2 linked regions of the Stegostoma tigrinum genome follow. The protein of the gene in region 1 purifies or fractionates together with the protein of each later gene. This does not show direct contact. Links are inferred from orthologs where the notes say so. Each region holds a gene or a part of one and is shown in the gene's direction. Other genes may lie near its edges.

Evidence for each region.
Region 2: the proteins of heterogeneous nuclear ribonucleoprotein R (region 1) and ilf2 purify together in Homo sapiens (affinity purification with mass spectrometry; 3 studies listed by BioGRID and IntAct, counting the BioPlex papers as one, with this or other methods). This does not show direct contact. The link is inferred for Stegostoma tigrinum from reciprocal best matches to the Homo sapiens genes HNRNPR and ILF2.

Annotation. Positions count from the first base shown.
Region 1 is NC_081377.1:35,785,310-35,796,950, forward strand, and holds the start of heterogeneous nuclear ribonucleoprotein R, read left to right. Parts: upstream 1-6,976; 5' UTR 6,977-7,189; intron 7,190-11,641. UniProt on the Homo sapiens protein: Component of ribonucleosomes, which are complexes of at least 20 other different heterogeneous nuclear ribonucleoproteins (hnRNP). hnRNP play an important role in processing of precursor mRNA in the nucleus.
Region 2 is NC_081400.1:1,948,114-1,958,688, reverse strand, and holds the start of ilf2 (interleukin enhancer-binding factor 2 homolog), read left to right. Parts: upstream 1-5,365; 5' UTR 5,366-5,443; intron 5,444-5,538; 5' UTR 5,539-5,581; intron 5,582-10,575. UniProt on the Homo sapiens protein: Chromatin-interacting protein that forms a stable heterodimer with interleukin enhancer-binding factor 3/ILF3 and plays a role in several biological processes including transcription, innate immunity or cell growth.

The DNA of each region.
Region 1 (11,641 bases):
ACAAATGAAAATCCATGTGGATTTATTAAAGTCAGAGTATTTGACAAATATGATTTGAGTCCATCAACAAATTGAGGCATTTGCAGTTGGTGCAAATGATCTTCTATGTATAGAGTTTCAAAGGGTGTTTGCACATGTAATGTAAAAGATTATTCACGTAATGGATGAAAGGGGCAACAGCTATGTGAATACAAAATTACCTTTGAAAAAACATGTTAGCAATGAATAACGTTGTTTCACAACTGAAGTCAGTGCACACCTACATCCTGAAAGACTTTGGTTCATTGAATTCCTACAACCTGGATTCGAGTGTTTGAGAGACACTTTCATGGGATATAGACATCGTTGTTTGTTGCCCATTCAAATTGCCCTTGAACTGAGTGTCTTGCTAGGCCATTTCAGAGGGCAGTTAAAAGTTAACGTATTTCTGTAGGTGGGCAATCAAATATAGGCCGGACCAAGTTGGCATGGAAAATTACCTTGCCTAGAAGGACACTGATGTGGAAGTGCCGGTATTAGACAAGGTTGGACAAAGTCAGAAGTCGCATGACACCAGGTTACCGTCCAACAAGTTTACCTGAAATCACAAGTTTTTAAGAGCACTGATCCTTCATCAGGTAAAGGTGACTTCACCTGATGAAGGAGCTGTGCTTCTAAAGCTTGTCATTTTGAACAAACCTTTTTGAACTGTAACCTGGTGTCTTGTGACTTCTTATTTAAAAGGACATTAGTAGGCCAGATTGATTTTTATCACAATTGATAGTTTTCATTGTCACCGTCAGTGAGGACCAGTTTGATATTCCAGATTTTATTCAGTGAATTTAAATTGTACTAGCGGATGGTGGGATTTGTATCCTAGAGTATTCGCCTGGGCCTCTGGATTGCTTGTCAAATTACTTTGCTGTTAATGTCACCATCTCTGTTGGGGTTGAGGTACAGTTCCAAAATTTGTAGAGGAGATCAAGCTTAGCTAATCAGTGAGGATGGTAGCATCCCTCAGGAGCATATCAGCAGACACAACACAAGGATTTCTAATATCACTTGATTGGAGACATTTCAGGGAATGTTCACTAGTGTGATCGGGTTGCTAAGATGAAAGGTGATCTTGGTGAAATATATAGGATTGTTTAGAGGCTTTACAGGGTACATGCTGAGATGACGTTTCCCCGAGTAGCAGAGTAAAGGACGAGAGCGCATAGTCTCAGAAATAAAGGACCATCAATTTAAGATTGATTTGAGGAGAGATTTCTTCTGTTTGAGGGTTGAGCATCTTTGGACTTCCTTGCTGTTGACAGCTGTGGGGGAAGTGCCCTTGTGTAGATTTCAGACTGAGAGACACTGATTCTTGTCCACCAAAGGAATCAAGGGTTATGGAGAAAAGATAGAAAACTGGACAGTGAGAGCCTTTTTCCTCGGATGGTGATGGCTAACACAAGGGGACATAGCTTTAAATTGAGGGGTGATAGATATACGACAGATGTCAGAGGTAGGTTCTTTACTCAGAGTAGTAAGGGCGTGGAATGTCCTGCTTGCAACAATAGTAGACTCGCCAATTTTAAGGGCATTTAAACTGTCATTGGATAAACATTTGGATGATAATGGAATAGTGTAGGTTGGATGGGCTTCAGATTGATTTCATTGGTCACGCAACATCAAGGGCCGAAGGGCCTGTACTATGCCATTATGTTCTAGCAATGATTGTTCTGAATGATAGCGCAGGCTTGAGAAGCCCAACAGCCTGCTCTTGTTCCTGTTTCTTATGGTCTTGTGGAAGTTTGCAAGATGCAAAACAGACTAATCATCATTTTTCATTTTCTTCTGGCTACAGGCTTAGCAAGAGAACTGGAGGAGCTACTGCTCACATTGTTGAGAGTGAAGGGATACATTAAGCAATTACAAACCAGACATGCTAACCTGTTACTGGAAAAATTCAGTATGATTGAATAAACTCATCATTTAGAAAAAGATGGATTAATCATGGATAATCGAAATAGATTTGTTAAGGAATGATCCTAATTAATTACTGAATTTTTGAGTTGGTATGAGGAGGTTGGATTGGGGTAATCCTTGTGATACATAGATTTCATATGAAAATCGAAATGCCGTGGAATCTATGATAAATTGACACGTTGATTCAAAATTGACTGCTAACAAAAAGTAATATTCATTAAGTGCTTTTGTAGCTGTACAGTTGTTTCCTGTCATGTTATTGGGCTTCGCATAGGGTTTCTTGCTCTTCATGGGTACCAAAGAAGAAGCATTGGACTGCAGGAACCTAAAATATTGATTGTTGATAAGATAGCAAAGTGACAAATGATATTTAATCCTTAGAAATGTATTGTAGAAGGTTAACAAGACAAGGAAATAGGCCTGGAACGTCAGTCTTCCTGCTCCTCTGATGCTGCTTGGCCTGCTGTGTTCATCCAGCTCCACACTTTCTTATCTGATTCTCCAGCGAGTGCAGTTCCTACTATCTGTGAAGGAAGTATAATACCCTTGAGAAGATGGTGGTAAGTTGCCTTCTTGAACTGCTGCAGTCCACCTGCTGGGGTTAGACCTACAGTGCTGTTAGGCAGGGAACTGCAGGAGTTTGACCAAGTGGAAAAATGAATGAACAGCAATATATTTCCAAGTCTGGATGGTGAGTGGCTTGGAGGGGAACTTTAAGGCAGTGGTGTGTATCTATTGCCCTTGTCCTTCAAGATGGAAGTGGTCGTGGAAAGTACTGTTGAGAATCTTGAATAAATTTCTGCAGTACATCTTGTATATGATACACACTGCTGCTACTGAGTGTTTATGATGGTGGGAGTGGATGCTAGTGGCTGTGGTGCCAATCCAACAGGCTCTTTTGTCCTGGATGGTGACAAGTTTCTTGAGTGTTGTTGGAGTTGCTCTCATCCAAGCAAGTTGGGTTTATTCCATCAGACTCCTGACTTGTGCGTGTTGTAGTTGGTAGACAGGCTTTGAGGAGTCAGGTGGTGAATTTGGATGGCACGGTGGATCAGTGGTTAGCACTGCTGCCTCACAGTGCCAGGGGCCCCCTCAGGCGACTGTCAGTGGGAGTTTGCACATTCTACCCCTGTCTGCGTGGGTTTCCTCTGGGTGCTTTGGTTTCCTCCCACAGTCCAAACATGTGCAGACTAGGTGGACTGGCCATGCTAAATTTTAGGAATGTGTAGATTAGGTGAGTTTGGGAAATGGGATTGGGTAGGAGGGTTGGTGTGGACTTGTTGGGCTGAAGGGCCTGTTTCTCCACAGTAGGGATACTATACTATACTATACTATGGATTATTTGCTGCAGTATTCATAATATGGGATAAATAATGGGACACGAGATCTTTAGAGAGACCATGTACTACATGTGTATATCCCAGATGTCTGAAAGTGGTTATGAAACCATATGATATTTCCCTTCATTATATGAGGTATAGAATATAAAATTAGGAAGCACTGCATAAAACAATTGTTAGATCATAACTACATCATTGCATACAGTTCTTGTCACTCTATTACAAGGAGAATGAAATTATACTGGAGAGAATAGATGTGTATTAGAATGTTGCCAGAATTGGAAAAGCTGCGAAGCCTCTTCTAGGGATGCCTAGCCTGAAGAAGTTACCCTCCTCCCTCTGGACAAGCCTCAGGGGATCTCTCTGCCACTGCTTAACTTTTCTGTCTCTTCTCCACCTTATCTTCTTCTCCTATCCATCTTCGATCCCCCCTCCCCACCCCCCCCCCCCTTTCCTGATGAAGGATCCAGGCCCGAAACGTCAGCTTTTGTGCTCCTAAAATGCTGCTTGGCTGCTGTGTTTATCCAGCTCCACACTTTGTTATCTTGGAAAAGCTGGGTTGTTTTAACTGAAATTGAGGGACTGAAGGTAGATTTAATCAAGGTGTTGAAAATAATGAAGCAGCAGGACTGATTAGAACTTTGAACTGTAAAAGAATTGAGAGTTACGGTGAGCAGGTGCGCAAGTGGAGCGAAATAATGAAAAGATCAGCCATACATGATCATCTTGAGCAGTCGTCTTGACAGATCAAGGCCTATTCCTGCTCCTATTTCTTATGTTATTACCTGGTCTGACCTACATGTGACTCCAGACCCACAGCAATGTGGTTGTCTCTTGTCTTTTATGTCTTATGGTCTCTTAACTGCTTTCTGGACAATTAAGGATAAGCAATAAATGCTGCCCTAGGTCGTGACATCTATATCTTTGAAACAAAAATAGGCCTTTTTTTTTCTTTTGAAACTATTTCTTCCTTTCTTCTCCCCAATCTGCACTACCGCCACACCCCAGCCAGCACATCTCTATATCCCTAACCAATCTCCACACTCCCTCAACTACCCTCCAATTCACTGATATACACACAATTTCAGAAGACAGTACTCATTCAGTTCAGGCACCAGACAGCACCCTCCTTCCCCCAGTAAGTAAGGATGCCCTCTCCATTCCATCTCCCCCAGTCAGGACACCCGATCAGAGTCCTACAACATGGAGACAGACTCTTTGGCCCAAACTTGTCCATGCTGACTAAAATGTCCATCCACACTAACCTCATTTTCCAGCACTTGGCCCTTTTCCTTGTAAACTTTTCCTATCCATGTATTTGTCCAAACGTCTTTTAAAAGTTAATTGTACCCACCTCAACTACTTCTGCTGGGGGCATATTCCACCTTGTGTAAAACATTGCCCCTCAGGTTCCCTTTTTTCCCCCCCCTTACCTTAAACTGATGCCCTCTAGTCCTCTATTCCCCAACCCTAGGAAAAAGATTTAGTGCGTTCACCCTATCCATGCCTCTCATGATCTTTTACACTGCTGTAAGATTCCCCTCCCCTCAGTCTCTTACTCTCTCAAGACAAATGTCCTAACTTGTCCAAACCCTCCATATAACTCAGTCTAAATTTTTTCTGCACTTTTTCAGGTTTAATAACATTCTTCTTACAGCAAGGTGACCAAAACTGAACATAATACCAAGTGTGGTCTCATGAATGTCATGTACAACTGCACTATAACTTCCCAATTTCTCCACTCAGTGCCCTGACTGATCAAAGCCAGTGTGCCCAGAGCTGCCTTCACTGCCCTGACTATCTGTGATTCCACTTTCAGAGAACCTTGCACCTGAACTCCAAGGTCTCTCTGTTCCACTGCAGTCCTTAAGGCCCTACCATTCACCATGGAACTCCTAGATAACAAAGTGCAGAGCTGGATGTACACAGCAGGCCAAGCAGCATCTTTGGAGCACAAAAGCTGATGTTTTGGGCCTAGACTCTTCTTCGGAGAGGGTTCTGAAATAAATAGGGAGAGAGGGGGAGGCGGATCAAAGATGGATAGAGGAGAAGATAAGTGGAGAGGAGTGTATAGGTGGGGGGGGGGGGAGAGAGATTGGGGAGGATGGATAGATCAAGGAGGCGGGATGAGGTTAGTAGGTAGGAAATGGAGGTGCAGCTTGAGGTGGGAGCAGGGGATAGGTGAGAGGAAGAACAGGTTAGGGAGGCAGGGACGAGCTGGGCTGGTTTTGGGAGGCGGTGGGGGAAGGGGAGATTTTTAAAGCTTGTGAAGTTCACATTGATACCATTGGGCTGCAGGGTTCCCTAGCAGAATAGGAGTTGCTGTTACTGCAACCTTCGGGTGGCATCGTTGTGGCACTGCAGGAGACCCATGACTGACATGTCATCTAAAGAATGGGAGGGGGATTTGAAATAGTTCGTGACTGGGAGGTGCAGTTGTTTATTGCGAACCGAGCGGAGGTATTCTGCAAAGCGGTTCCCAAGCCTCCACTTGGTTTCCCCAATGTAGAGGAAGCCACACCGGGTACAGTGAATACAGTATACCATATTGGCAGATGTGCAGGTGAACATCTGCTTAATATGGAAGGTCATCTTGGGGCCTGGGATGGGGGTGAGGGAGGAGGTGTGGGGTCAAGTGTAGCATTTCCTGCGGTTGCAGGGGAAGGGGCCGGGTGTGGTGGGGTTGGAGGGCAGTGTGGAGCGAACAAGGGAGTCACGGAAAGAGTGGTCTCTCCGGAAAGCAGACAGGGGAGGGGATGGAAAAATGTCTTGGGTGGTGGGGTCGGATTGTAGATGGCGGAAGTGTCGGAGGATGATGCGTTGTATCCAGAGGTTGGTAGGGTGGTGTGTGAGAACGAGGGGGATCCTCTTTGGGCGGTTGTGGCGGGGGCGGGGTGTGAGGGATGTGTTGCGGGAAATGTGGGAGACGCAGTCAAGGGCGTTCTCGATCACCGTGGGGGGGAAGTTGTGGTCCTTGAAGAACTTGGACATCTGGGCTGTGCGGGAGTGAAATGCCTCATCGTGGGAGCAGATGCGGCGGAGGCGGAGGAATTGGGAATAGGGGATGGAATTTTTGCAGGAGGGTGGTTGGGAGAAGGTGTATTCTAGGTAGCTGTGGGAGTCGGTGGGCTTGAAATGGACATCAGTTACAATTGTAGATGGCGGAAGTGTCGGAGGATGATGCGTTGTATCCGAAGGTTGGTGGGGTGGTGTGTGAGAACGAGGGGGATTCTCTGGGGCGGATATTCCCCTCCCCATCTATACTCTCCTCCCCATCTATACTCTCCTCTCTACCTATCTTCTTTTTCTCTCCATCTTCGGTCCGCCTCCCCCTCTCTCCCTATTTATTCCAGTTCCCTCATCCCATCCCCCTCTCTGATGAAGGGTCTAGGCCCGAAACGTCAGCTTTTTGTGCTCCTGAGATGCTGCTTGTCCTGCTGTGTTCATCCAGCCTCACACTTTGTTATCTTGGAATCTCCAGCATCTGCAGTTCCCATTATCCCTGATCACTCATACCCCGTCCTCCTTCATCGACTTCCTCCTAACACGGCATCCTATTGGACAAAGCCCCTCCCCTTCACACAAACACCACCCCCCCAGCCAAACCTTTCCTGTGGGGATTTGCGATTGGCCAGCCGGTTGCGGGGCGGCCGTTGCCCGGGGTGACGGTGGGCGGGGCCCGTACCGTGCGACCGCGGCCGGGAAACCCCGTGCGGCGCCGGGAGCGGGATCCATGAGGCGGCCGCGGCCATTTTAGCGAGATCCACCAGAGCGAGGGAGGAGAGGGCGAGGGAAATAAATAAATAAAATAGATCGTTAAAACATCAATCCGTCGGAGCGCGGGAACGGGGTGGCGGAGCTGAACCGAACCGCATCGCACCGGCAGCCCCGAGAGTAAGGTGAGGGGGTAGGCCGGGGGTGCTCGGCGGCGGGAAGGAGTGTGTTTGTAAAGCCGGGGCCGCGGGTTGAAGCAGAAGCCCGCGGAGCCTTCACTGTGCCCCGCTAGGCCGCAGCCCCGGCACTTTGTCCCTTTTTCCCCTTCCGGGGGGGCGGGGGAAGCAGGTGGTGGTCTCTGTATGAGCGCCCGAGCGTGTGATTTTATTTCCTTGATGGGGTGAGAAAGGAGGGAGTTATAGCCCGCGGGTTTTATTGCGATTCGCCAGTGATTGTCGACGCCCGTCGGACCCGCGGCATTTTCGGAGCTGGGCTTCGGGAGAGAGGGGGAGGGGAGAGGACAGGACGAGGTTTGGTGGGTGGTGGGGGGTGGGATAGGGGTGGATGCTGTTGTTGGGAAGCTCAAAATGAAAGGCCTCGGCCCTCTCTCTCCAATTCCCACTCCAGCCTCCCGTTTTATTCCCTCTTCGTTTGGATTGCCTTACAGTGTTCCTGGTCCCGCCGCGACCCTGTGTACTTTTATATTCATTCTCGCCACCCGGGCTTTTGTTCTTTTGTTGTAATTTTAAATGTATGCACGGCCCCGGCGCTTCGGGCTTATATTCACTTCGCCTATTTATTTCGCTCTCCTTCAAGGCGCCTGGTCTTCCTAACTCAGGACAAACGACGCTTTATTTTCAAAAAAAAGCCACACGGGATCAGATTTGCGTGATGCTGTCAAATGTTATTTTTAATTTTTTTTCCATAGTTGCAAACGCAGTAGAGCCTAAGTATTAAGCTTCATGCACACTTCCTGCACATCTCTCTTCCCCACCTCCCCTTCTAGCAGAGAATAGTTCAGTTTTCAATGTGCTTGTTGAATATTTCCATTTTTAAATATTTGTTTTTATCTATTACAGTTTTTTTCTTTGCTCGATTACTGTTGATGCAACATGTGGCCCGGCCATTGTTGTGCCGAGTTGACGCATGGCCGAGCTGAACATTTTAGTACACGTGGATTAACTAGTTTGGCTTCGTGATAAGAGCGAGTGGCTTTTTGGTCGTAGATGTGTCGGGAGACTTGTAGCATTGAATGGAATCTTTTTGTCCTAAAAGCTTTTGCTGTCTGCGCAGGTTATGAGTTGACTACTGTGCTTTAAAGTTCAAATGTATCTCTCCACCTCCTCCCCCCCGCCTTGAAAAATCTTAAAAATTACTTGCTTTGAAAGTGATTTCCATCGATCTAGGGTACAACAAAGAGGATTTGGATAAGGGTAGAACAATGGGCTTTCCATGATGATTGGGATTTCTAATTTGTGTTGGTTTTTTTTGAAAGATTGTGTACTTGCTGTGTTTCACTTAGCTTAGGCAGTGGATGAATCTCCTGAAAGGTTTATGTTGATATGTATGTGATACTACCTACAAGTTTGTTTGAAGCTTGGAGTTTTTAAATGGAATCTCTTGAAATTGCCAATGATTGGTTCTTGATTACGGCACATTTGGAGACGAGAATTTTTGCAATTTCTGCTGTATTACTGGCGTTGGTGTTGAAAGCTAGGTTTTCTCATTTTAAATAATTTAATTTTAGTCTGGAGAGTTCAATCTGAATTACCATGCAATATATTTCATAAAGATTTCATTGAATTGGATTGTATGAATTCCAAGTTGCATGTTTGTCCATGGTACAGATTGCATTTGTTAAGCTTTGGGAAGCTGTGTACTTGTTGCAATAGCTTGAGTAGTAATGCACACATTTGAGCATTCAATTTGTCATCATTTGGAACATTCTTTTTAAATCACTTAAACAGTAGTGGTCAATCCATACATTGTTGAAAGAACAATCATTGGAAGCCATACTTTCCCCTATGTGATTGTGTCATCATGAGTAATCAACTGGCCTTGATAATGAAATGTGGGTCTAGAAAGGGTCTAGGCCCAAATGTCAGCTTTTGTGTTCCTAAGATGCTGCTTGGCCTGCTGTGTTCATCCAGCCCCACGCTTTGTTATCTTGGATTCTCCAGCATCTGCAGTTCCCGTTATCTCTGATCAACTGGCCTTGATAAGCTTTAAGACATCTTGAGGTTGTTGAAGTGTTATCAATGCAAATTATAAGAAAATTGTTTCTGTTTAAGTTTCCTGAAGCTCATAAATTATTCTGTGGTGTACTTAAGCCGGAGCTGGTTTGTTCATAATACCCTGCATGTGTGCTTTGTGCATTATAGCAGTTAATAATTGTGTTAACTGCTTAGTATCTTAAAAAAAACTTATGCAAATGAAGTGTGAGTACTGTAGTTAAATTTAGTTTATGCAAGCATTCCCCTCCCAGTAAGCAAATGACTTTATACTTGGAGATCCCATTGTTCTTTACATGGTTATACCTCTTCCTCAATTCATTTATGGTGTAGCTCAGAAAGTAAGTGGACAGTTATGCATGTGGTATCTGTTTTTTGAAAGGGCTTCCCATTTTACCTCCCTTGGCCTTTTTTCCCCCTGTCCCTTTATGATTTTAAAAGTTCCACATTTTCATCTCTGTCTTCTGTTTATCAACTTTGCTGTTTGGGATTTCCCTCATTTGTGCTGTTGACCTGCTTGTACATAGAACATTACAGCACAGTACAGGCCCTTTGGCCCTTGATGTTGTGCCGTCCTGTCATAATGATCTGAAGCCCATCTAACCTACACTATTCCACGTACGTCCATATGCTTATCCAATGACGACTTAAATGTACCTAAAGTTGGCAAATCTACTACTTTGAACATTTTGTATCCGATTTCCCTTAAACATTCTTTGCTTTAAGAAGACAATCCCAGTTTTTTGAGCCTGTCCGCATAATTGAAGTCCCTCATTCCTGATACTATCCTTATAAATCTCTGCATCCTTTCAAAGACCTTGGCATTCTTCCCTGAAATGTGGCACCTAACATTAGATACCCAACTCTAGCTGAGGGCTGGTCATGGTTATTTTTAAAGGTTTCAATATACCATTTTTGTTATTGTACTCCTTAAAAACAAGGAACTCCAAAACACCAGCTTGTCAAGCCCGCTTTGAGACCTCTCTTCCTGCATTCTGTTCCAGGTTGTATCATTTATCATCTAATTTTTCCTCTAAATGAATGCCTGTATCTTTAAATTTTGCGAAAAAATCAGAGCAAATGTTTCGGGTCTAGTGACTCTTCCTCCAAACGTCTGCTTTTGTTCCTGATTTATAGCATCTGCAGTTCTTTCAGTTTGTATTTAAACTTTGCATGCTGTTTTGTTTGCCCATTTTACTAGTCATTGTCCCCTTGAAGTTGTTGACTGTTCTGTTTGCTGTTCATTATTTCCATTATTGGTCAAAATTTGGAGACTTTGAAATTCCCTCCACAGACACCCCCCCCCCCCCACACACACACACACACACACACACACACACACACACACACACACACACACACACACACACACACACACACACACACACACACACACACACACACGTGTGCACACACACGTGCAGACATGGCCATGCATTAATTTAGTAGTGATGATTGAGGGACCCATTGTATGCTTCCTTCCAACCTAAAAATGCAACTTTGCTTTCTACCTTTGAGCCAGAGTATGCACATTCTGGTCATATCCCTTGCAACCTCAAGTGCTTAACTTCTGCTTGCCAGGTATTTTGCAGCATTACATTTAACTTGTTTTGGAAGTTCATGGAATTAGCTGCTGTACCTTCACCAATTCTCTTCATATTGCATTGAAAAAATTTGGTCATGTCTTTAAGCCAGCATGGTCTTTTACAAAACTGTGCTGGCTGCGATTAATTATTACATACTTTTCCCTTGTGGAAATTTATTTTCCCAACAACTGCTATTAGGTTGACTGTCTTGCAGTTGCCGGTTTCATCTTTTTATGAGTGCATACATAACCTTTACAGCCTTTCAGGCTTTTGGCACCATTTTCATACCGAGGGATGAGTGAGAGAGAGTGCCAGAATAACTTCTGTTTTTACTACTTCTTGCAGTAATGTGTGCCCTATCTGTTTGGGGCGGTGTCTTCAGTTCCAGTTGATAGTGTTTTAAGAATCTCTCCTTTTTTTTAATCTATTTTGTAGAATTTGTTCTAACCATCTTTTACTGTGCTGGTGTTGCTGTTCTCATTTGAAGAGAAGATCGGTTTCACCAATAGTTGCAGAGTACACATTCAGTACTTTAGTCATGGTTTCTACCAGTTGAAGGTGATTTCCTTTTGGATCCTAAATGGCTCCACCTTCACTTTTGACTGCCCTTGTTGACCTGCATGAGCATTTTCAAAACAACACTGGAGCAACACTGTTTGTAAGGGATTTGGTAGCTGTAAGGAATGCATTTGTGTTAAGATTTGTAGTGCCTTTTACATTTGCATTCATTTGAGGGGGTAAAAAAAGCTCTTTTGAAACAGGCATTCATTCTGAAATATTCTTGTTTCAATTTGGAATTATAGTATTTGAGATGGAATTA
Region 2 (10,575 bases), on another chromosome or scaffold:
CTCCCCTTCCCCTACTGCATCCCTAAACCAGCCCAGTTCGTCCCCTCCCCCCACTGCACCACACAACCAGCCCAGCTCTTCCCCCCCCACCCACTGCATCCCAAAACCAGTCCAACCTGTCTCTGCCTCCCTAACCGGTTCTTCCTCTCACCCATCCCTTCCTCCCACCCCCAGCCGCACCCCCAGCTACCTACTAACCTCATCCCACCTCCTTGACCTGTCCGTCTTCCCTGGACTGACCTATCCCCTCCCTACCTCCCCACCTACACCCTCTCCACCTATCTTCTTTGCTCTCCATCTTCGGTCCGCCTCCCCCTCTCTCCCTATTTATTCCAGTTCCCTCCCCCCATCCCCCTCTCTGATGAAGGGTCTAGGCCCGAAACGTCAGCTTTTGTGCTCCTGAGATGCTGCTTGGCCTGCTGTGTTCATCCAGCCTCACATTTTATTAACTATATAAATACCATGGTTACAAAAGCAGGTCAGAGGCTAGGAATCCTGCAGCGAGTAACTTGCCACCTGACTCCCCAAAGCCTGTCCCACCATCGATGAGGCATAAGCCAGATGTGTGATGGAATATTCCTCGCTTGCTTTGGTGAGTGCAGCCCTGACGACACTCAAGAAGCTCAGCAACATCCAGGGCAAAGCATCAACTTTATTGGTACTATATACAGAAGCATTCACTCCCTCCACCACCGACGCTCAGTAGCAGCAGTGTGTACCATCTACGAGATGCACTGCAGAAATGATCATCTAAAGGACAAGGGCTGCATGTACTCGGGAACACTACCCCCTGCAAGTTTTCCTCCAAGCCACTCCCCATCCCGACTTGGAAATATATCAACGTTCCTTTGTTTCTGGGTCAAAATCCAGGAATTCCTTCCCTAAGGGCATTATGGGTCTACCTCCAGCACGTGGACCAGCTCACTGCCACCTTCTCAAGGGCAGCAAATGTTGGCCCAACCTGTGTGCTGTGAGTGAATAAAAATACCAACTGAAATGAGCACAGAGTGCTGGAGAAACTCATCAGGTCTGGCGGCATCTGTGGAGAGAAAGCAGAGCCAATGTTTGAGTCCAGAATATCTTGTCCTCAGAACTGAGCCATGCTAGACTTAAACAGAAATTGCTGGTGAAACTTAGCAGGTTTGGCAGCATTTTATGGAGAGAAAGCAGAGGCAAAGTTTCAATCCAGTGATCTTTCTTCAGAATCACTTTGCAGAAAGGTCATTGGGCCCAAATCATTGACTCTTTCTGTCCACGGATGCTGCTAGACCTGCTGAGTTTCGCCAGCACTTTCTGTTTTTGTTTCAGATTTACAGCATCCACAGTTTTTATGTTTTGTCTTTCACACTGGACTTCTTGGGCTGAATGGCCTACTTCTGCTACTGTGTCTTCTCTTCAAACCGGGCTGATGGGGGTTAGCTACAGATCAGCCATTGATCTAATAATGGAGAGATAGAGTTGTTAATTTGGTGCAAATCTTACGGAAGTAAAATTCTGCAGATGTTGGAAATCTTAAACAAATACAAAGAGTAGCAGAGTTGCCCTGGGCTCACAATGGTAACTGTGTTCCTCATTGCACAAATGCTGCCAGACCTGCTGACTTTCTCCACCGTTCCCTGTGTTTGTTACAGATTTTCAGCATCTGCAATGTTGCTATTATTTTAACATTTACACCTGTTTTACTCTGATTCCCCTTTACCTCATTGTCACTGCCTTTGTCTTTGGTCTGCATCACTTTTTCCATCTATTCCACTTGCTTTGTTTACAGCATAAAGCCATCATTTTCCAGCTCCTTTCAGTTTTGAAGAATAGCTGACCTGGACTCTGAAATGTTAACTGTGTTTCTATCTCCACAGCGGCTGCCAGACTTGATGAGATTCTACAGCATTGTGTTTGTTTCAGATTCACAGCATTTTGCTTTTCTAAAACTGACAAAGTCCTCTCTCTCTTTCATCTCTTAAAATTAATTAATGCCCTCTTGCTCACCCTGTTATTTGTCTTTTTCTGCTCGGAGAGCCGTGGTGGAGTTGTCACTGTGTGATAAGTATGGGCACCACATGGCTTTCGCATTGCCTCCCCTCTGGAATTCAGACTGCTTTGTCCACGTTTGGACATGTTTCGGAGATGGGGACCCTGTCAGAACTCAAACCTAACAGCAGTTATTGTCGAGTAAGTTAGTGCAGGTTGACAGCATTGTCGAAGACCTATTTTGGTGGTCCATCTTTGATGGCTGTGCTTTCATCTGCTTTGCTCCAAGCTCTGGAATTTGCTTTCCTTAAACCTCCCTGGTCTTCTCCCTTTAACACTGTTCTTAACACCTGTCTTTCCTATTGTGTCACCTACTTCCTTGGGAGCCTTGGCTTCTAATCTTGTCACAATCTCTCACTATGAAGCACTGTGGATTTTATCAAAAATTAAAACTGCTATGTCAACAATGTTGTTGTAAAGGTGCAGTGTAATAGTAGATGAGCTGTTAGATGACCTTGCTGAAGTCAAATAGTCGTTCTTTCAGCATCGTATTCTCTCAAACATTCAGAAATGTCAACGGCAAATTAAGTTACTTGACAGGCATGTGAATGTACCAAGGTTGTTGTTAATTTCCATGATTGGGGAAATGTTATAAAACAGCAGCTCTGTGAATTGTATACCTAATCATCTGGACTGTTGAGGCAGTGCAGCCTTGTTAATGAAGATCTCATTCTCAGTTAAGCACAATTCCAGGTAGCAAACCTTTTTGACTTCTGTTTTAAATGTAACCCCCTGGAATAAGTCACCTTGGCTTTTGGCGTTACTTCTATTTTGCTTTGAATTTAGTACTTGCCTTTAGCCTTTTGAGAGTTTGGTGCGTTACAGCAAAAACAGCATTGACATTTGCAATTGTCTACATTACCCAGTTGTAACTGATATCAACACTCTAATCAATGCAGGTGTAGAGAAAATGTGCAAAATTACAAAGGTCATGGTACTCACAGGAACATGTCTAGGTTCTCCATATTGGCCCTGAGGGATGGATGCTTGTGGTATAAGCACCAGTGATTAAAAATCTGCATTTTTGGGGCATTAATACATCTTACAGTAGATTTAATTGGATTAATAGAGATCAAATCATCCAATGGCAATGGATACCTATTGAATATAAATTTCCAGATTATAATCTGGATAAAGATGAGAAATTTCATTATAAGGAGGGTTAATTGTGTGTTGAATGCCCTACCAAAATATGGGTGTAAGCAGCTTTTTTGAAGGGAAGTTGTGTTATAATACAGATGGGCATGAGCTGGCACAGGCAGGCTGAATGTTGTGTCTGTGCTGTCACATTGAATAATTCTGAGATCCCCAAAGCAGGACGCTGTTGCAGAAAATTTTCGACATGAATGCGCAAAATTCCTATCTCAAAACCACATTTGAATGTGGCATTGATGATGCCCACGGTTAATTCTAGTGAAGACAGTGTATGTTGTACCCACAACCTGCCGCAAGGTTGGCAGTTTTCACTGTGTCAGGAGCAAGGCACAAAGCTGGAACACAAACACACACTCTGGTTACATTGCAAGAATTTAACCTGTTCTGAGAACTCCTTCCTCATTCCTCCAGAGTTTTGCTTCTCAGCCTTTCCCATTTAGTATCGGCTGTGATGAAGTGAGCAGAACTGTTGCCTTGAGGTCAGAACGTTGTGGGTTCAAATTCCACTTCAACACTTGTAAGTCCCTGTGCAACACTGAGGGGTGCTACGCTGTCGGAGGTACTGTCTGTGGATGAGACATCAAAAACAAGGGCCGATCAACCCCCTCATGTTGATATTGAAGATTCTCTGTCATTACTTTGACGAAGAGCAGGGAAATTATCCTGGTGTCCACACTGTCAACCTTGCACAAGCAGCTTGTTATCGCATAGCTAATTGTAGGAGTACATTTGACTTAAATTGAATGCCATATTTTAATAATGCACTTCATTTCAAACATACTTCATGGCTATAAAATACTACGGAGTGTTTGGCATTCATGAAAGGTGCTAGCCTTTTCCTTTTGGCTTTCTGGCAATGTGTCCTATTGATTTCCCCCCCCACACTGCTCTTGTATTGACCTGGAGTTTTCAGGATGGGACTCTGCACTTTTTTGTACACAGTGACTGCAGGCAGACCATTTACAGTCTGAACGCACGACACCATGGAGCAAATACTATGCACAGACAGCTCCCCTTCATGTTTAAAAAAAAACTGACTTTGAGAGCCAGTGAATTTCACCCTGGAAACTACAGATTAAGCTCACCTATTGGACATAGAATGCTAGGACGATGCAGGGACCTGGAGGGATAATGTTTTCACACAGAAGGTGGTGTATTTATGGAACCCAGGTGCCCAAGGAAGTGGTGGAGGCTGTACAATTACAACATTTAAAAGGCCATCCGCATGGGTATGCAAGTAGGAAAGGTTTAGAGGGATATGGGCTGTCTTTTTCTCTAAGGTGGGGGATTTCAAGACTGGGGGGATATATTTAAGGTGACATGAGAAAGATTTAAAACACGTGAGAGGCAATTTTTTTTGGCTCTGTTTACACTAGTTCATATGTGGAATGAACTTGCACAGAAAGAGGTGGATGTGTGTACAGCTGCGACATTGAAATGACATTTGGATGAGTACATGAGTAGAATATGATGGGAGGGATATGGGCCAAGCACAGACAGGTGGAGCTAGTTTAGTTTGGGATTATGGTCAGCATGGATTAGTTGGACCAAAGGGTCTGTGTCTGTGTTCTATGACTGTGAAAGTAGGACTAGACAACTCGCAACTGGAACGTTCCAAGGAAATGTTTCTCAATGACATCCAATTAGACCCCCATTTAGGGAGGTTTGGAGGGGCTGGGGGAATGATTGGGACTCACCATCTATGGAACAATGACGAGTGAATGTAGGATAGTGTGAATGAAAATATAGGTGCAGAAGGTAAGTAGATGTTGATGTTTTGAGGGAAATTGAATGTTAACTGACATTATTTAAGCAGCAGAACAAAATAGTTGTCGGGGATTAATGTAATGACTTCAGCGTATGTAAACAAGATGGTTCGTGAGCTTAGACTGGCCACTTTTCCCAACATTTCCTTTGGGGACTTTAAGATTCTGTCCCTGTTATTGCTGTCTTCTAGATTTGATGCCAGCATCATTTTTGATCTGTGCTCTTTTTGTTTTCGTTACTTGTGACTGATTTTAAAAAGTTGCTTTTGAATCCAGGACTTGGCTTGTTTGGTATTTTTGGCCACATCCAGGATTCAGGAGCTTGGACACACTACGCCACAGACCACCTTAATGCTGTTTCCTTGGGGTTGCATGTTTTCCCCACCTACGGAGCTTGTATCTGTTTTAACTGCGCATTCATATGCTTTCTATTGCAGAGGCGACAGAGGACGTGGCCGTGGACGTTTTGGTGCAAGGGGTGGCCCAGTTGGGGGGTACGTGTCACGAGACAGTCGTTTGCTAAAGATTTTTTCTGTTACAATCCAGATTTTATTAATTTGAAACTTTTATTTCTCTCCAACGTAAACAGGTTCAGACCATTCGTTCCTCACATCCCATTCGACTTCTATGTGGTAGGTGACAGTATCTTTTCTCAACACGTCACAGAGCACTGTGCAGCCGATGAGACAATTTTGACACCCAGTCATTGTTATATGTTAGCTAATTGTACACATTAAGCTGTATGGTAATGACTGGGTAAACTACAACAGGGAGTTGCTGGAGTGAATATTGACCTAGATGCCAGAGCCTGCCTTTGAGTGGTTACAATGGGCTCCTTTACCTCCACCTGAGAGTGGAGATGCCAGTGTTCGACTTGGGTAGACATAGTCAGAGATCACATGACACCAAGTAAGAGCCCCAACAGGAGATAGCAAGAACTGCAGGTGCTAGAGTCACAGTCCGAACAGGTTTATTTGAATCACAAGTTTCAAAACACTGCTCCTTCGTCAGTTGAAGTGGAAGGACCTGTACCGGCACAGAATTTATATGCAGAGAGATAATGGCAAGATAATTACAGGTAACTAAGAATGGTCATCCCCTCACTTGCTAGTCTGCTGTTGTCACTTCACTTACACCATTTAACACTTTTTTGATCACCTGCATAGAAATGTTATTCTGCTTGTCAATACTCTACTCACACACTATTGGGGAGCACTGTTGTGGGGAAATGTTAGCCCACTCAAGGACAGTGGAGTGAGTGTGTGTGTCTGTGTGTGTGTCTGTGTGTGTCCAGAAGAGGTCGGTGGAGAGGTCTTAAAAGATAACTCTGTACCAGTATTTGTGAAAGAGAAGTAATTGGAACAGGGGTGATCTCAGGGAACAGAGAGTCGCATTACTAAACCAAGTTGCTATTAAAAAAGAAGTGGTGATGTGTGTCTTAAAAAGTATTAAGATAGATAAGTCCTCTGGTCCTGGTGGGATCTATCACAGAATATTGAGGGAGGGAAGAAAGCCCGTCGCTGGACCACTGACAGGCATCTTTCTATCCTCTTTGGTGACAGGTGAGGTCCCAGAGGACTGGAGAATAACCATTGTTTAAAAAGCGTATTGGGGATAATCCAGGAAATTACAGGCCTCTAAGCCTCATGGTGGTAGGGAAATTAGTGCAATAGATTCTCAGGGTCAAGATCTATAAGCATTTAGAAGCAAATGGACTGACTAACACTCAACAGCATGGTTTTATGCAGGAGAGGCCGTGCCTCAATAACTGATTTGAATTTTTTGAGGAGGTGATGGAAATGATTGAGGGAAAAGTGGCTGAGGTTGTCTACATGGACTTCAGTAAAGCCTCTAACAAGGTCCCTCGTAGCAGACTGGTACAAAAGATGAAGTCACATGTTATTGAGGTGAGCTGGCAACATGGATACAGATCTGACTTAATGATTGGAGACAGGGTAGCAGTGGAAGAATGCTTTTCAGAAGGGAAGGTTGTGACTGGTGATGTTCCACAGGGATCACTGCTGGGACCTCTGCTTGCGATCTACATCAATGATTTGAAGGAAAACATAGCTGGTCTAATTAGTAAGTTTGCAGATTATAACAAAGATCGGTGGAATTGAGAATAGTGAGGAGGATTGTCAGAGGATACAGCAGGTTATAGATCATTCGGAGGTACGGGCAGAAAAATAGCAAATGCGTGTTTAATCCGGACAAATGCATTTTGGAAGGTCAAGTACAGGAACTTATACAGTGAATGGCAGAACCCTTAGGAGTATTGACATGCAGAGGGATCTTGCTGTGCAGATCCACAGATCACTAAGTGGCTGTGTACGTAGAAAGGTGGTTTAAAAAAGGCCTACAGCAGCGTGCTTGCTTTCTTTGGAAGGGGCGTTGACTACAAGGATAGTCAAGTTATGCTGCGGCTTTAGAGAAGTTTAGTTAGGCCATACCTAGAATATTGCTGACAATTCTGGTCCCCTCACTGCCAGAAAGATGTGGATGCTTTGGAAAGGAAATAGAAAAGGTTTGCTAGGATGTAGCCTGGAATGGGAATTTTAGCTATAAAGAAAGGTTGGATAGACTGGGCTTGTTTTCACTAGAATGCAGGAGGGCAGCTAGAAAGAAGTTCATAACATTGTGCATGGCCTAGATAGTGTGAAAAGAATGCGGTCTTTTCCCAGGGTGAAGGGGTCAATTACTAGAGATACAGATTCAAGGTACCATGGGGGTGTTCAAAAGAGATGTGTGAAAAATGTGCCTTGCACAAAAGTAGCATTCACGAATCACTTGAATGAATACAAGCATAGGAAGGGAATAGAGGGATATGGATCCTGTAAGTGAAGACCGTTCTAGTGTGGAACGGCAAAATGTGCTGGCGCAGGCTTGGAGGGCTGAAGGACCTGTTCCTGTGCTGGATTGTTCTTTGTTCTGTTGTACTTATCTTTTGATACTCTTAATTACCTTGAATTATCTTGTTGTTATATCTCCACGCATAAATTCTGTCCCAGTGCGCTTCCCTTCATGTCACCTGATGAAGGGGCTACACGCTGAAAGCTTGTGATTTCAAATAAACCTCTTGCACCATAACCTGGTGACAAGTAACTTCTGACTTTGTCCATCTGAAAGGGCAGGTGGGACCTTATTTTTACATTTCCCTTAAAGCTAGCGCCTCTGACACCACAGCCCTCCTTCAACTACCACACTGATTTGTTGGCCTGTATTTTGTCCTGATGTTCCTGGGCTGTGAACCCATGGCCTTTTGACTTGGGGGACAGTGCTCTGCGCTAATCCATGGCCGATGTACAGTGCTTGTTAAAGCTGGCACAGTGCATTGGCACCACCTGGGCTCCTCTGGTTATTCTGTTACATTCAAATGTCTGCCTGCTTCATTGGGCAATATGTAGGGTCCACTTGACCTCCATGAAAAGGAAAGTTGGGTTGTGTGTGTACTGTTGTTAGAGCAAGCATTTGGAGCTTTATATCTGCTCTGTAAATTCCACGAATTTGGTGCTTTGTAGCCTGACTTCCATTTGATGTTAAAGCTTGAGCGCATTGTTGAGACGAACACTCCACTGATGCCCGTTAGGCCAGACATTAAACCAAGGCACCTATTTGACTCGTTCAGTATAACATTCAAAGACTCAATGAGACTGTTCGGAAAGAAGCAGTGGTTTCTTGATCCATTGATTATTCTGTGAAAAAGCAGACTAAAGCAAGTTGTTGTAATGTTTTGTACATCAAGATAGCTGAATTTGGAGTGTAATTGATTAATGGGAGGTGTTTTTGAAATATTTGAATGTTTTATGTAGCATTTCTTTTGGTTAATGAGAAATAACTTGACACTGATGACTTGGTTGACTGTGGTCTGGTGAGAGTGGCAGCTTCTACCTTGTAAGACACCAGCTGGTTTAACCAGTTTGCTCCTGATGTTTACTTCGCTCAATCCACCTGCCTCACCTGGAGCAGTCAGAGTCATATAACATGGAAATAGACCCTTCGTCCAACTTGTCCTTGTTGACCAGATATACCAATCTGACCTAGTCCATTTGCAAGCATTTGGTTCATATCCCTGTAAACCCGTCTTATTCATATACCCGTCCAGATAACAAACGAATATTGTAATTGTACCCGCTCTGCCACTACCTCTGCCAGCTCATTCCATACACACACCACGCTTTGCGTTTTTAAAACAAGGTTATCCCTCAGGTACGTTCTAAATTCTTCCCCTCTCACCTTAAACCTATACTGTCGAGTTTTGGACTCCCCCCATGCTAGGAAAAAAGACCTTGGCTATTTGCCCTTTCTATGCCCCTCGTGACCTTATAAACATCTGCAAGTCACCCTTCAGGTGCCGATGGTCTGGAGAGAAAAACCCAGCATATTCAGTCTCTCCCTATAACTCATACCCTCTAGTCCCAGCAACATTCCTCTACATTGGGGAAACCAAGCGGAGGCTTGGGGACCGTTTTGCAGAACACCTCTGCTCGGTTTGCAATAAACAACTGCACCTCCCAGTTGCAAACCATTTCCACTCCCGCTCCCATTCTTAAGACAACATGTCCATCACGGGCCTCCTGCAGTGCCACAATGATGCCACCCAATGGTTGCAGGAACAGCAACTCATATTCCGCCTGGGAATCCTGCAGCCCAATGGTATCAATGTGGACTTCATCAGCTTCAAAATGTCCCCTTCCCCCACCACATCCCAAAACCAGCCCAGTTCGTCCCCTCCCCCCACTGCACCACACAACCAGCCCAGCTCTTCCCCTCCACCCACTGCATCCCAAAACCAGTCCAACCTGTCTCTCCCTCCCTAACCTGTTGTTCCTCTCACCCATCCCTTCCTCCCACCCCAAACCGCACCTCCATCTCCTACCTACTAACCTCATCCCACCTCCTTGACCTGTCCGTCTTCCCTGGACTGACCTATCCCCTCCCCACCTATACTCTCCTCTCCACCTATCTTCTTTTCTCTCCATCTTTGGTCCGCCTCCCCCTCTCTCCTTATATATTCCAGAACCCTCACCCCATCCCCCTCTCTGAAGGGTCTAGGCCTGAAACGTCAGCTTTTGTGCTCCCGAGATGCTGCTTGGCCTGCTGTGTTCATCCAGATTCACACTTTATTATCTAACATTCTTGTAAATCTTTACTGCACAATCTCAAGTTTAACAAATCCTTCCTATAGAAGGACGACCTGAACTGCGTGCAGTGTTTCAAAAATGACTTCACCGATGTCCTGTATAGCTGCAACGTGACATCCCAACTCTTGTCAGAGATAGTAAGGACTGCAGATGCTCGAATCAGAGGTAACTGCGTGCAGCTGGAGGAACGCAGCAGTCCGGGCAGCATCAGAGGAGCAGGAAAGTTGACGTTGCAGGAAGGGAGCTCAGAAATAGAGAGGAGGGGTGGGGCTGGGGAGGATAGGTGAATGCAGCTAGGGGAGATGGGGATTGGTCAGTGGGATGGATGGAGTGGATAGTAGAGAAGCTGGAAAGGTTGTGTCAGGTTAAGAAGGCGGGGATAAGAGGGAGGGTTGGACATGGGATGAGGCCACCTATCCGCCCCTTCCACCTTACTGACCAATCCTCTCTTTATTTCAGACCTCTGTTTCCCCCTCCCCATTTTT